Schizosaccharomyces pombe: one gene and its partner. The protein of the gene in region 1 interacts with the protein of each later gene in a pairwise test. Each region holds a gene or a part of one and is shown in the gene's direction. Other genes may lie near its edges.

Region 1 (8,119 bases):
CAACTTCAACAACTAGCACCGTCTAAAGAAAATTAAAGGATAAACAACTCTCAACTTGTCAATCCAAAGAGCGAATTAAAAAATTAGTCTGAAATTATTCTTCATCATCAGAGAAGAATGATTTGGGTTTTTCGGTGCCCTTGGGAGATTGTAACCATGCTAATTCTCTCTCTCTAGCACGTCTTTCTTTGGCCTTGATTTCATTTCTCGTCAATTTCTTCTTTTTGGTAGCTTTAGCCTCAATCTTTTTCAAATCTTTCTCCGACAGATCTTCAAACTTTCCATCGTCAACAGCGGTCTTGCCCTTACCGGTAACCTTACCCGCTTCTACATGCCAGTGTTCAGGACACAACGCAGAAACAAATTCTTCATTATGTGAAATCATAACGACCCCACCTTCCCAATCACGAATAGCAACAGCTAAACCACCTAATGCATCTCTGTCCAAAAAGTTTGTAGGTTCGTCCAAAACCAAAAGCTGGGGGTTATTCCAGAGACACGCAGCAATAACAACTTTAACCTTTTGACCGCCAGACAAACTACTAATGGGGCTGTAATCAGCAATGTCGCCAGGAAGGCCCACATCCTCAAAATGTGCCCTGATGTCTTCGGGAATCAATTCACGGAAACCGAGACCTTCGCGAGAAGATTCCATATCATCAAAAGCCTGTACAAACTTTTGAAACCCATTTTCAAGCAATATTTCTCGAGACACCCACGTATTGTATTTATGAGGCTTCCCAAACCATTTAATTTCATATTGAAATGACTTTTTTAGTTTTTGACGGCCAATCAAAGCTTCCACTCTTCTACGTTCGCCATTGACCGTAATATCACGCTGAAGCTGAGCACGGTCTTCTTCGGTAAGTTTTCGAGATTCCTTCTCTGAAACTTCGCGGTCCTGTCCTCCAGCATAACGCCATTGAATATATTGACTTGGCGTTTTTTCCAGATGTTGATCCAAGTGATGAAAGGCATGCTGAGCAACGTAACCCACACGCAAGTTGGGATGCTTGAAAACTTTTCCTTCTTGAGGGATTACTTCACCGATAAGAACTTTAATAAGCGTTGATTTACCAGCACCGTTAGGACCTAAAATGGCAACACGAGAAGATAAAGATAACCCAACGGTAACATTATCTAATGACTTCTTCTTCGCGTTGGGATATGTATAAGAAGCGTTTGTCATTTTTAATATGAGACGTGTGTTTGAGCGCACACCAGTTAAGATACCGGGAGGTGGAAAAACAAACTTCTCGTTTGTGGCTGTCAATGTATAGTATGATTTAGCTTCCGGTTTGACCTTGACAAAAGCTGAAAGATTACCTTGATAATAACCAAGCTTTTTTGCCTGGTTTTTAACACCTTCATAATGAATGATGTCAGTACACACGTGGTCCAAAAATGAAGAGTCGTGAGAAACTATCAAGCAAGTAATATTCTTTTGAGAGGTTAAATATGCTTCCAGCCATGCAATATTGGCAACATCAAGATGATTTGTTGGTTCATCCAAAAGCAAAATATCAGCTTTCTGCAACATGGCACGAGCCAACTCCAGTTTCATTTTCCAACCACCAGATAAAGAAGCAACAGGATTTTCCTGCATCTCCGCAGTAAAACCAACAGAATGCAAAGCATCAGCAGCTTCTTGACGGGTAACATTCATAGTCAGTAACGCCTTATCTTGAGCAACAAAGTCAAGGATAGCCATACTAGTATCCTCGCCTTGAAGACTATGTGCAACAAAGCAAGTTTTAACCTCATCAGGTGAGGGAAAGTTTTCAACCTTGTAATCACCAATAGCGCGTAACAAGGTTGATTTACCACAACCATTGTGACCAACAACACCGTATCGATGACCTCTATAAAGGTGAAGATTGGTATGACTCAGAAGCAATCTGCCACCGTATGCCAAAGAAAAATCAGTGTTAACTAGTTCCTCTTCCTCAATAGTAAGGTTTGAAATCCCATCAACAGAATTTAATGACTTATAGAAGGCGTGAAGGTCATCATATATCTTTGATGATATTTGTGAAGCCAATTCTTCCCCGACAAGTGGAGATAAATAAAGCACACCTAATTGCGAAGTCCATTTGTCTTTGTCAAAATTATTTGACTTATACAATGCTGCTAAGGCATCGCAGACATAATCTATGATACTGTTGGCCAACTCATGTGGTACACTAGTGTTTTTAAGGACGGCCTCACGTAATTCTTTACAAGCGCTATCTAACGCCTGTTTCTCAGAATTGTTTGCAGCCTTTGCAGCCTGAGCAGCTGCAGCCTTGTTTAGAGTAGTAAGTGCATGAGAAGCAAGGGCACGAACTTCAGGCATAGCAGCAGTTTGAGCAATACGCTCAACGTCCGGAATTAACTCAGGAAGAAAATCAGATGCCTCGGCAGGATCAGGAACCAGTTTACATAAGTTGTCAGTAATAATGACAGTCAACCGCAGCATAGACTGTGATCTCTGAGCTAATGCTCGCTTTAAGATAGGAACGAGCACAGCTAAAGCAACTGATTCAACTGTAGCTACAAATGTTGTAGCGCTTAAATCTTTAATACAAGCTTCCAGTGTTTCCGGATGAGCCATACAATCGACGAGCTTTGGTATATGAGGAATAATGTCGTTGTTTTCAACGACGGAACATAAGTTCAACATGCATGTAATAGCGGCACGAGAAATTTCCGGTTTCGTATCATGCATTCGTTCTTTAATACAAGGAATGAGAGCGGCCATGTAATCAGCAACAGCCTTGGGGGATGATGATGCAAGAGAGCCCAGTAATTGCAAAGCAGCCACTTTACTAGGCCATTTGATAGATGAATCGTCTAAGTAAGAAATCAAGCTTGGAATTAAGCGCGTTTCTACGGCTCCTGCAGGAAGACAATCCAAGAGGGCTTGGGCGGCCATTTTGGCGGCTTGTCTAACTACTTCACCACGATCCGAGAACGAATCCAAAATAGTAGGAAGATAAGGAAGGAATACAACTTCGGAAGGCGTACCCAAATTTTTAATAACAGTAGCAAAACCAATCATGGCAGCTTCACGATGGAATCCCGACTTCTTATTGCGAGCTGCACGTTCCAAGCCATCCAAAAACCCCGTAGTCTTCAAAGTGACTAAAGGGTTGTCATTTGAAAAAAGCTGGGCAATTTTTTTACCTACATCAGCACAGCTTTGAGAAGTTTCAGCATCCAACAATTCCTGCAATAATTTGAGGACATCGTCCTCTTCGTAACCCTGAATTAACACAGAGGATGTCATTTCTCTGCAATGCCGTTCCAAATCCCACAATTAACCCGATTAGGCCTTGCAATGTAGCTTGGTGGAGGACAACTATTGATATTGTGAGAATCCCTTTCATATACTAAATTTTAACCGCTCGCAAATTTATAATTTGCCTTACAGTTCCTTAAACGCCGACTATTGACAAATAGTACAGTCTCAGTATCGCTATAGCTTATTATAATATAATTACTTTAGTTCGCTATTTAGTACAGATGTTAAAAGTAAATAATATATCCTCAATATTCTGTCAAAAAAGATTTACTGAACGGACCACCTGCATTTGATGAATTAGTAAATAGAGATATTAATCCAATTAGTTCGTGAAACTCTGCTATAGTGGGCCCATCGGATCTGATGAATTTGACAGTGTAGACCTATTAGGTACCAGGTACTACCGTAGGGTATTGTACTTAATCAGCAAGAAGATACAATGATTTGATAACTTTTTAGAAAGCTTGTTTCTATATAAACCAACCAAAAAAGCTCTATAGGGATTTTTTACTACTACTCTGTTAAAATATTAGTCTGCGTCCTTATATTAATTTTAACCATAAAACGAAAAATTGGAGAAATAAATTGATTTCAATAGTTAACAGATTTCATGTAGATTCACATAATTTTGCCAATATATTTTTCCTCTGTTCTGCTCAGGTTACTAGTATATTAATAATACATAATTTAAGCTGTCACATACTACTTATTTATTTTGAGGTTCCAATATTTTATATTATTTTTCAACTAAACCGACAATCGTATTAGGCTAATGACCACTAGATATAATAAAATCATAAATTACTTATAGTACAAAAATCGGCTGCCGTTTGTGATGCAAGCGTCGTATTTTTGTTCATATAGGGTTGGGTTCGAGTTACCGAAAGTTAATGTCGCTTCGGTTGTTTCTCTAGGGACAGGGTATTTTCGTTGCTATTGACTTAGAAAAGTCGTGGAGTTATTAATAAACAACCAATAAATTTCAACTCGATTAAATACATTTTATTGTTAAGTTTTCCGTCGTTGTTTTGGCTTAAGACTGAGAAAATCAAGTCAATGGATATCAAATACAATGAGTTGGTCAACCAATTTGCGCCGGGAGCAAAACAAATTACTATAAAAAAAATACGAAAGAAAGGCAATGGAATTTTTTCTTTGAATAGGTATACTTCTGGAACTGTTCTTTTAGAGGTTCCACTTGAAAATATAATATGCCGCAAAACAGTTGAACAATTTCGAAATTCTTGTGATAAATTCGCTTCAATCGCAACGCTTGAGGAATGGAACGATATGAGTTTCAGAACTCAGGCTATGTTATTTCTTTGCTATTTATGGCTCGGTATTCAACCCCGAACCAACAAGTGGGATAAGTTTTTAACGGTTCTTCCTTTATCTATCAATACGCCTGCACAATGGCCCGAAAAAGAAGTCTACAGCCTCCAAGGCACTTCGATTTTTAATCCAGTTTGTGTCAAGAGAAAAATTTTACAACAAGAGTGGCTTTCATTAAACCAGCGGTATTCTGATTCCTGGCCTAGTAAAATAACACTCCCAAAATGGGTTCATGCTGATGCTTTGTTTCACAGTAGGTGCCTTGAAAGTCCCTTTAAAGATCCAGTTTTAGCTCCTGTGATTGATTTATGTAATCACTCCTCTAAGTCTAATGCAAAATGGTCATTTTCGGAAGATGCTATGCAGCTCTATCTTGACAAGGACATTGATGAAAATGAAGAAGTTACGATAAACTATGGAAGTGAAAAAGGTTCTGCTGAGTTTTTATTTTCTTATGGTTTTTTACCTGAACCTGAGGGCGATCGGATTACAAATGTTATGAAACTCTTGATTCCCGAGGATTCTAATGACTCGCTTGATCTTGCTAAAAGGAGATCTTGTAAAACTCCCCCCATGATTGAATTTGTTTCTGATTCATCTGGGGAATTATGGTGGCATGCTCCATTTCTTTTTTTTTCTGTACTTAATGTTGAAGACTTTACAAACTTCAAAATGGTGTGTGATGAATCAAAAGCTCAAACAGTTGACTGGGAATTTGAAGGTCAAAAATGCTCAGTTGAAGATTTGCCAAAGCTTGTACAATTATCTCCTAAAAGAGATTTGTATATTTTACGTGTTTTTTGTCTCGCTGAACAATTAGCGGATGCTGCCCTAAATACAAACATTGAGAATATGTACAATCCAACCGAACGACGTTCAGAATCGGTAGAGCTTTTAAAGCGTGAAAGTTTCTTACTTAAGAAAGTCCTTTTATATCTTAGAGACGTTATTTCAAAGCTCCTTAAGTCCAAAGTTGTGGTGGAATTCATCCATAGCCAGACCATTGAGTCATGAATCGACCATGCATAAAAAGTTATTTATTTAAAAAAAAAAAGAAAATATTTAGTATGTGATGAATACTCTACAAATCTCTTAATTTGGAATGACTAATCGTGTATAATAATATAATATCCGTAATATATCCATACCAAATAAATTAATCAGTAATTGTGAAAAAAATAAGTATCTATTTTGATTATGCTATTAAATATTAGGAAATTTTCAATTGTAGTATTGATACCAGTTTCCTGTATTCTAAGGCGTTAGTATTCAGATTGGACTACCATTAATACTATTTCGGACTATGTATTCTACCACACCGACAACTTTGACATAAAGCGACCTAGTTCCTATTTAATAGCTCGTGCAGCGTATTTACGAAGGACTCATCCTACAACTTTTTGATTTATTAGAATATTTGCCAAGGACGCATCTAGCTTATTGAGATTTAACTATGGAAACAAATCAAAATGAAAAAGGACCAAGTCTACCTTCTTATCCTGCTGGAGGAATTATGTCTGTAAGCAACTCAAATGCTGATACGAATCAAGGCGTTACTCAGCATCCCTTGGCAAATCGGATTGTTAATCCTAACTACTACAATATGGGATTCAATCCATACTCGGGTTTTAACTCCTTCATTCCTTCCTTTAATCCATTTGTCCCTTTGGAAACCAATTTACCAGGGAACGGACCTATATCATCACTGCAGGTCATTGAATCTATTGTAGGTGCCGTTGGAAGTATAGCTCAGGTCCTTGAGTCTACTTTAATGGCTGCTCACATGAGTTATAATACATTTGTTTCTGTGAGTGAAAATCTGAACAAACTAAAATCGTCTATTGGTGCAATATTTGGTATTGTTTCATTGTTGTCGCGGCTTAAACGCCTAGTTTTAAAGTTCTTCAAGCATTCTAAAATCGATGAAATGAATTCACAAGAATATGATGTATTTGAGAAGGAGGAAGGAAACCATAAAAATTCAATATATTCAATTGTCAGTAGCTTGGCAATTATTCTTGGGTTGGTGGGCTTACCTTATGCAATAATTAGGTTATTCAAAAATATTTATGAAAAAGAAAAACAGATTCAACAAGCAAAAATCAGAAAAAAAATTGATAGTCTTGAGTTTTGCAAGGCTGATTATGAGTTTATGTCCAGAGATCCGGGAGTGGAAATGTCTTTAAAAAAAGGAGATATCATAGCAATTCTATCTAAAACAGACACCCAAGGTAATCCTTGCGAATGGTGGCAAGGAAGAAAGAGATCTGGCGAGACTGGGTGGTTTCCTTCAAATTATTGTTCAATCATTTCAAGGTAACGTTACGATATTTTGTTTGAGGACAATAAAATGTCTGAATCCCGTATAGTAAACGAACTTTTTAGTTTGACAATTTATTCTACTATTCTCACAAGATATGTAGACAAACATCCTTTCTCTTGATTGCAGAATTTCACGCATTACTTGCACTTGTTTATGGGAAATGCCTGATCATTTCTCTCTGACGACTAATGCGCAGTTGTAAAAAGTTTTTTGATAGTACTACCCACGATTTATAAATTCATAGTCTATTTATTGATATTACTCATAATAAGAACTAGAGAAAACATTTTCAAGTATTTTATAATTAGACTAAGGCTTTTAACAGAGTCGCTACTTTGAGTCAAACTTTGTAAACAAAATATGCTGTATTAGTGAGTATATATATTGATATATTCATTTACTTCAGTCAAAAGTCCACAAAGGAACAGGAAGTAGTTTATTGCAACTTCTATGCGATTCTTAAAATAAGAAAAACTTTTGACATTTTAGCAGTTTCATTAGTCTTCATTCTTCGCAGTTGGTGATTCAGTTTCGGGAGCGTAAGAAACGTCTATCTTCTCAGTCTCAGTCTCTTGCTTAAACTTCTCTTGCTGCTCTTTCTCAGCTTCCGTAGTTCCAGTAGATAAAGAAGCCGGGGAAGAGGAAGCAAAGAAATAAAAGTAACAAGTAAGAATAACAGCGGTTAAAGAGCCAAGAACGGCAACAATTGCAATCCCAATTTCAGGAGTCTCGATGATGGTTTCAACATAGTAGTCAACTTTTTCGGCAACATTTGGAGGAAGTTTAGCTTTAATAATATCATATACGTCAAGAAACTTCTCAAGAATTTGATTAGACTCTTCGTCAACATGCATTGATTGCTTTTCCATGGACTCTTGCTTAGAAAGTAATTCTCTTTCAGCTTTCAATTTAGGTAGGAAAGTTTCATTTCCAAGACGTTCAGCGTCCTCAATTGAATGGCCGACATAGATATTGCTAAAGCGGATGTTGGGCTGCATAGTCCAAAGTTCGAAACCAACACCGTAGAGTGGACCGAAATGAGAAGGATGATCATCATCAAAATAGTCAGGGTTAGGAATTTTACGAGGATACCATTCACCAATGAATTCAGGATTAGGGATCATAGGAGGAGACCAAGGGCCACGATAGTTAGGGTTACGAATCATCGGTGGCTTCCATTC
Region 2 (5,355 bases), 2.4 Mb from region 1:
TTGAAAATGATTACTGACTTTCGTGATCCTGTAGTTGGCATCCACTCGAGTAATTCGTTTCCTTTATACATGGTATGCTTTCTAAAGCATCGCTGATATTCCTTGAAATAAAAATGTTGATTTTTCCCTAGCATAATGACCATTAACGAAAGTATACAATATCTATTTAATGATTGTCTAAACCAAAAAACGTATTTCCTTTGAATAGAAAGTGTAAACGAATGCGCAATTTTTTTTTGAAATCATAATGTTTACTTCATCCTTGCATTCTTAAGTTGTAATTAAGACAATTCAAACGCATTAACATGACATTTAGAAATTAAAAAGGATAACTTGAATCATCCTTTTTGGGTATTTATATCATTTATTAATTTCACAAACAATAAATCCATATACTTATTGGGATTTTATAACCATACTGCATTCGTACATTATTCACCTACTGCAAAATATTTTTTAGCATATATTACTTTTTACTTTCAAAATATCACATTTATTTTAATAATATCGTTATAAGGCTTTGTATAATATCGATGAAAACAGTTACTTGAATAATTATCTCCTTTTATTTCAGTATCCATATATTACCATAATCTTTGCTCAGCCTCGGAAAATCACACACAAGTATGTGTGACGTAAAGCCACGATTTTTGGCTACACTGCGAAATGGTACTTCGCAGAGTAAAGTAGTACCACCTCTCGCAACAAACTCGCCTTTCCCGTAAATCATGGCTCTTGAATGTGATAGTACAATTGTGTTTCCTCGACCACTTACACGACTAGTAAAATGTGATTTAGAACTTCGCAATACTGCACCTTATCCGATCGGATTCAAAGTGAAAACTACTGCTCCTAAACAGTACTGTGTGAGACCCAACGGTGGTCGAATTGAAGCCAATTCGGCTGTAAGTGTTGAAGGTAAGATAATTTATATTTAATTTTGAACCTCATTTGCATTTTTTGATTTTATTCGTTTAAGCGGTTCCCATCATTGATGTTGTCGGGTGGAACAAAAACGTTGTCATCAACGTGATTTTCTTTTGCAAACTAACAGTTTTTATTGTTTTTGTGCGTGCACTGGAAGATAATTTGTGCTCATTAGTTATTGCTGTAAATTTTCATTTACTAACTTCTTTTTTTTTAATAGTTATCCTACAGCCTCTAGATCACGAACCGGCTCCTGGCACAAAATGCCGCGATAAATTTTTGGTCCAGAGCACTGAATTGAAGCCAGAATTACAGGGAATGGATATAGCAGATATTGTATGTGATAAAAGATATACTTACATTTACTTTTTTAATACATGCCATACATAATTGATGTTCTAACCAATACTTTAATAGTGGACTCAAGTCAGCAAGGCTAATATATCGGAACGAAAAATTCGATGTGTTTATAGTGAAGGCCCCAGTACTGCAAATGCTCATGCTAATGCTCACCATCAACCAGCTCAAACAACGACTACATCTATTCCTACTTCTGCCACTGACAATTATACCACAGTAAATGGTAATGTTAATCAATCTTACTCTAAAGGAATAGACGGAACGGCACTTCCTTCGACCCATGCAAATCCCGTAGCTGCTCCATCTACAGCTACTACACAGCATACCCAGCTTCCTAAAACATCTGCAGTTTCTCACCAGAAGCCCCATGAAGCCCCATCTACTGCCGTAAAAGCTCCTACTGCAACAGTCGCTGAAAATGAACCTTACCCAAAGCCTCAGTCAGTGCCTACTACCACTTCTCCTAACAATGAAAATAATGCATTAAGATCTACCGCTAATGTAATTAATAACACAAGACAATCAACAGCTACGAGTCCATCTATGTTCGCTGGAAACAGTGGAAATCAAATAGGACTTGCACGCGTTTCATCGTCTTTTGGGCGTCCGACTAGTGGTGCCAAGGTTGTTCCTCAAATTCATAACACAGTTACTGTGCAAACCGCTTTCCTATTAGCCATTATATGTTTCCTTATAGGCCTTCTGTTCTAGTTTTTAAATATATTGATGCATACTGTGCCAACCCATTCCATTGTCATTCCCAATGTTCATACTATTAGTATGACGATGAAAATTGTTTTGTGGATTTGTTTGTTGAAAAGTATGACTTCTTTCATGTACAAGTGGCTCATTTTTTTGTAATTGCTTAAGGTAATTTAATGCCTCTTCCATTCTGTTTTGTGATGTTTTATTGTGCTCTTCCAACTCTTCCAAAGGTAGTAAAGGGACTACAGGCCGATCCTCAAGTTGTCTTAAAACAACAAGCCACGCGCCCGTTAATTCATAGTACGCTTGACTTTTATAAACATTATGGTTGGGATTATGGAATTCTGGCAGTTCGTGGACAACGTTTGTAGCGGCATCAAGAAAAGTAATATTTTTCTCAAAACAAGTAGAGTATGGAGGTAAATAACAAGGAACCATATCATTAAGCGCATGTAAGACAGCCATGTACTTTTCACGAATTCTATTAAATGCGTAATCACCCCTCTTGTCACCACCATAGGGAAATGAGTCATTCAAGTTAATTAAAAGTTTACGCAACGTTTCAACACAAGTATCCATGGACGGCGCCGGTAATATGCCCCGTATATCACGTGCGAGATCAGGATGCTTTTCTACACATTGTAATAAAATTGTAAAAAGCTGTTGTTTGTCTGAATATTGTAGCAGTCTCGACAATGGCAGTTGCTCACCCACAGGTAGTTGACGAGCACGCTTAGAAATGTCTTCGTCAAAATCAGCTTTGCGTTTCTTAATCTGAGAATAAGATAAGGTCTCCATGAATTAAGGAAATGAACAGTAACAACAAATAAAGATACCAACTTCAAACGTGAAATCGTCTGATTAATTATAACAAAGAAAATGAAAATTACAAAGAAATGGATATTCCAAAAGAAAGAGGAAAAAATTTCAAAAGTAGTAACAATAAAACAAAGATAGAGGATACTTTGTTAATGAGCTTCCTTTTTTAAAAGCCGGAAGGATGGCTATTGCTCAGTGTATCGACTTATGAAAGCTAGCAATTTAATTTTTTTCTCAGCCCAAATGAAATAAAACCGTCGATTATAATTTCTATATTACAAGAAGCTCTATTGCCCGCAATACCAGCTCAATTAGAACCTCGATTTCTTAAAAAAGATAATGGAAAATGGTAAGAACAATTTAGTGGCTCAAGAGTTTTCTTCTCATGAGACGTTACCAAACTATTACTTAATTCCTTAATTTGTTTACTGAAAAAATTACATTTTATTTAATATAATGTCACCGCAGCTGAGTGTCAAGCCTACAATAATATGTTAACGCAGTACAGAAAATCGTTAAGTTGGAAGAGCAAAATAATAATTTTTTTCGAAGTAATTGTGCGTATGGATCAATGTTATAGTCAATAACTATTTAACTAATTGTTGTTGGTAAACAGTAGTCAATTCTAACTTATTGGTGATGCTAAAAATGAAAACAAAGCTTCATTTCAACTGATCATAGGCAAGTAATAAAAGCAGGGGGTAGACTTTACGTTCTTGTGTCGACGATTTTATGATCGTTAATTTCGTACTCGATTCATACCAGATACACAAACAATGAATAATTAAAACGATTCATACATCCAGTAAATAAAAAAAATTCCATTAAATTTGTTGTTTGAAGATTTAAAATTGCGTCAAATTTGAAACCAAATAACGCATCTTAATGCACTTGAACGTTTTCACGCTGATATACTTTGATAAACAACGATCACTACGGTTTTACCTACATGAAAAATAATAGAGAAGCACTTTATTATTTTTTTTTGGCAGTTCCAAATTTTCATTTTTTTTGAACTTACTACTTTTTTATTTATTTTGTGAATTACATGATAATTGAACTTGCAAGAGGCTTTTGAAAAACGACAAACGTATGCTGACATCTGATATATAAACGGAATGTCAAATCCAACTATTGAGGGAGACGAAAACCGTAAAGAAAATACAAAAAGCAACACAAAGCCGAATTTTGACGACCTTGATGATTTGGATGGTATGGAACATCGGTAATGTCCTGACTACGATTTGTGTATTACGATATTTCGTTCAAGTGAATTTTGCATTGCATAAATATAAAAAATAATGAGAGGGTAGAAAGGACTTTACATTAAAAGGAAACAACTAACAAAACAAAGATATCCTAGATGATTTAGATGTACCCAGTGCATTTAAGAACGAAGAGAAGAAAAACATAGATGAGCATAAACAAACCGGTAATACATCAAAAGAGAATGAGAGGATAAAGAATGACGATAATTTGAATTCACTTATTCAAGAAATGATGAGCAAATTTGAAGACTTAGGGGGACCGTCTGGCTTGGATGGGAGTCAACTTTCGTCTAGCTTTCAGAATGATCAGTTACTCAATGTTATATTAGAGGATCAGTTTGCAACGGAAAAAGATTCGGATAATGGAGCCGTTAACTATGGTGCTTTAGAGGCTGCCTTAAACTCCCTAATGTCACAAGTTACCAGTAAAGAGATTTTGTATGAACCCCTTAAAGATCTTGAAGCAAACTATCCTAAGTTTTTAAAGAATGCGAAGGAGACAGAGAAGCAAGGTTTTGAAGAACAGTACCAGAAAATTCAGAAATGTATTCAAATTTTTGAGAGTCCCGAATATGATGCTCGTAAAGATGCAGATATCATTTCGAAACTGGTAGAAGAAATACAGGAAAAGCCGCTTCCAGCTCCATTGATTGATAATTCTATGGAAACTGCAGGATGTCCAACCCAGTAAGTGGCTTGACTAAAGGATATGTATCATCGCTGTTATATTATTGAACTTAGGGTTTTGGATTATATATAATTGATTCTTTGTAAAAATTTCCTTATTTTCATTTTCAATTTAGTAACCCACGAACTTAGGTAATTAATTCTTTTGATTGTAACTGCTAAAATATGTTAAGTTGGTTTATATAAAGTTGTTTAGAAGTTTTTAGCTGACATTAGGTCAAGGCGAACCAACGCAAGGCTTTGACAGCAGCAGCAAACGAATAAAATCATAGTGTTATGTTTTCCTTTTTCAGAAATCGTTACAATTGATCAACTTCTTCTTCCAGATCCGATGGTTCAATTGCATAATCTTCAGAGGCATTTTCAAGTTGTTTTTCCCATTCCATATAAGCGCTTTCGTCTATAAATTTATTCATTTCCATGGAACCTCCCCTTTTATGTTCCAAAATCCCCTGTCGCCTTTTAGCTTGTTCATTTTCATTTTGGGCACGTGTAGATTGTCTAAGACGCGTCCACGAATAAATCGTAGGCTTTAGTCGTTCAGGCGAAGCACGATCATATTGATAATGAAAGGAATCACTCATGATGA

What was found. The genes of interacting proteins can lie anywhere in the genome.
Region 2: the proteins of pex13 (region 1) and pex19 interact in a two-hybrid assay, tested with the Schizosaccharomyces pombe proteins (one large-scale study listed by BioGRID).

The regions. Positions count from the first base shown.
Region 1 is NC_003424.3:2,079,180-2,087,298, forward strand, and holds pex13 (peroxin 13), read left to right. Parts: upstream 1-5,930; 5' UTR 5,931-6,068; coding exon 6,069-6,935; 3' UTR 6,936-7,254; downstream 7,255-8,119. Other genes in the region: AAA family ATPase Elf1, read right to left, coding at 95-3,268; lysine methyltransferase Set8, read left to right, coding at 4,340-5,629; calnexin Cnx1, read right to left, coding at 7,436-8,119. UniProt on the Schizosaccharomyces pombe protein: Component of the PEX13-PEX14 docking complex, a translocon channel that specifically mediates the import of peroxisomal cargo proteins bound to PEX5 receptor.
Region 2 is NC_003424.3:4,475,285-4,480,639, reverse strand, and holds pex19 (protein Pex19), read left to right. Parts: upstream 1-3,758; 5' UTR 3,759-3,929; coding exon 3,930-4,023; exon of another isoform or gene 4,024-4,165; coding exon 4,166-4,770; 3' UTR 4,771-4,855; downstream 4,856-5,355. Other genes in the region: scs22 (VAMP/synaptobrevin-associated protein family protein), read left to right, coding at 729-918, 1,148-1,263, 1,345-1,998; nuclear proteasome tethering factor Cut8, read right to left, coding at 2,002-2,790; protein dhm2, read right to left, coding at 5,066-5,350.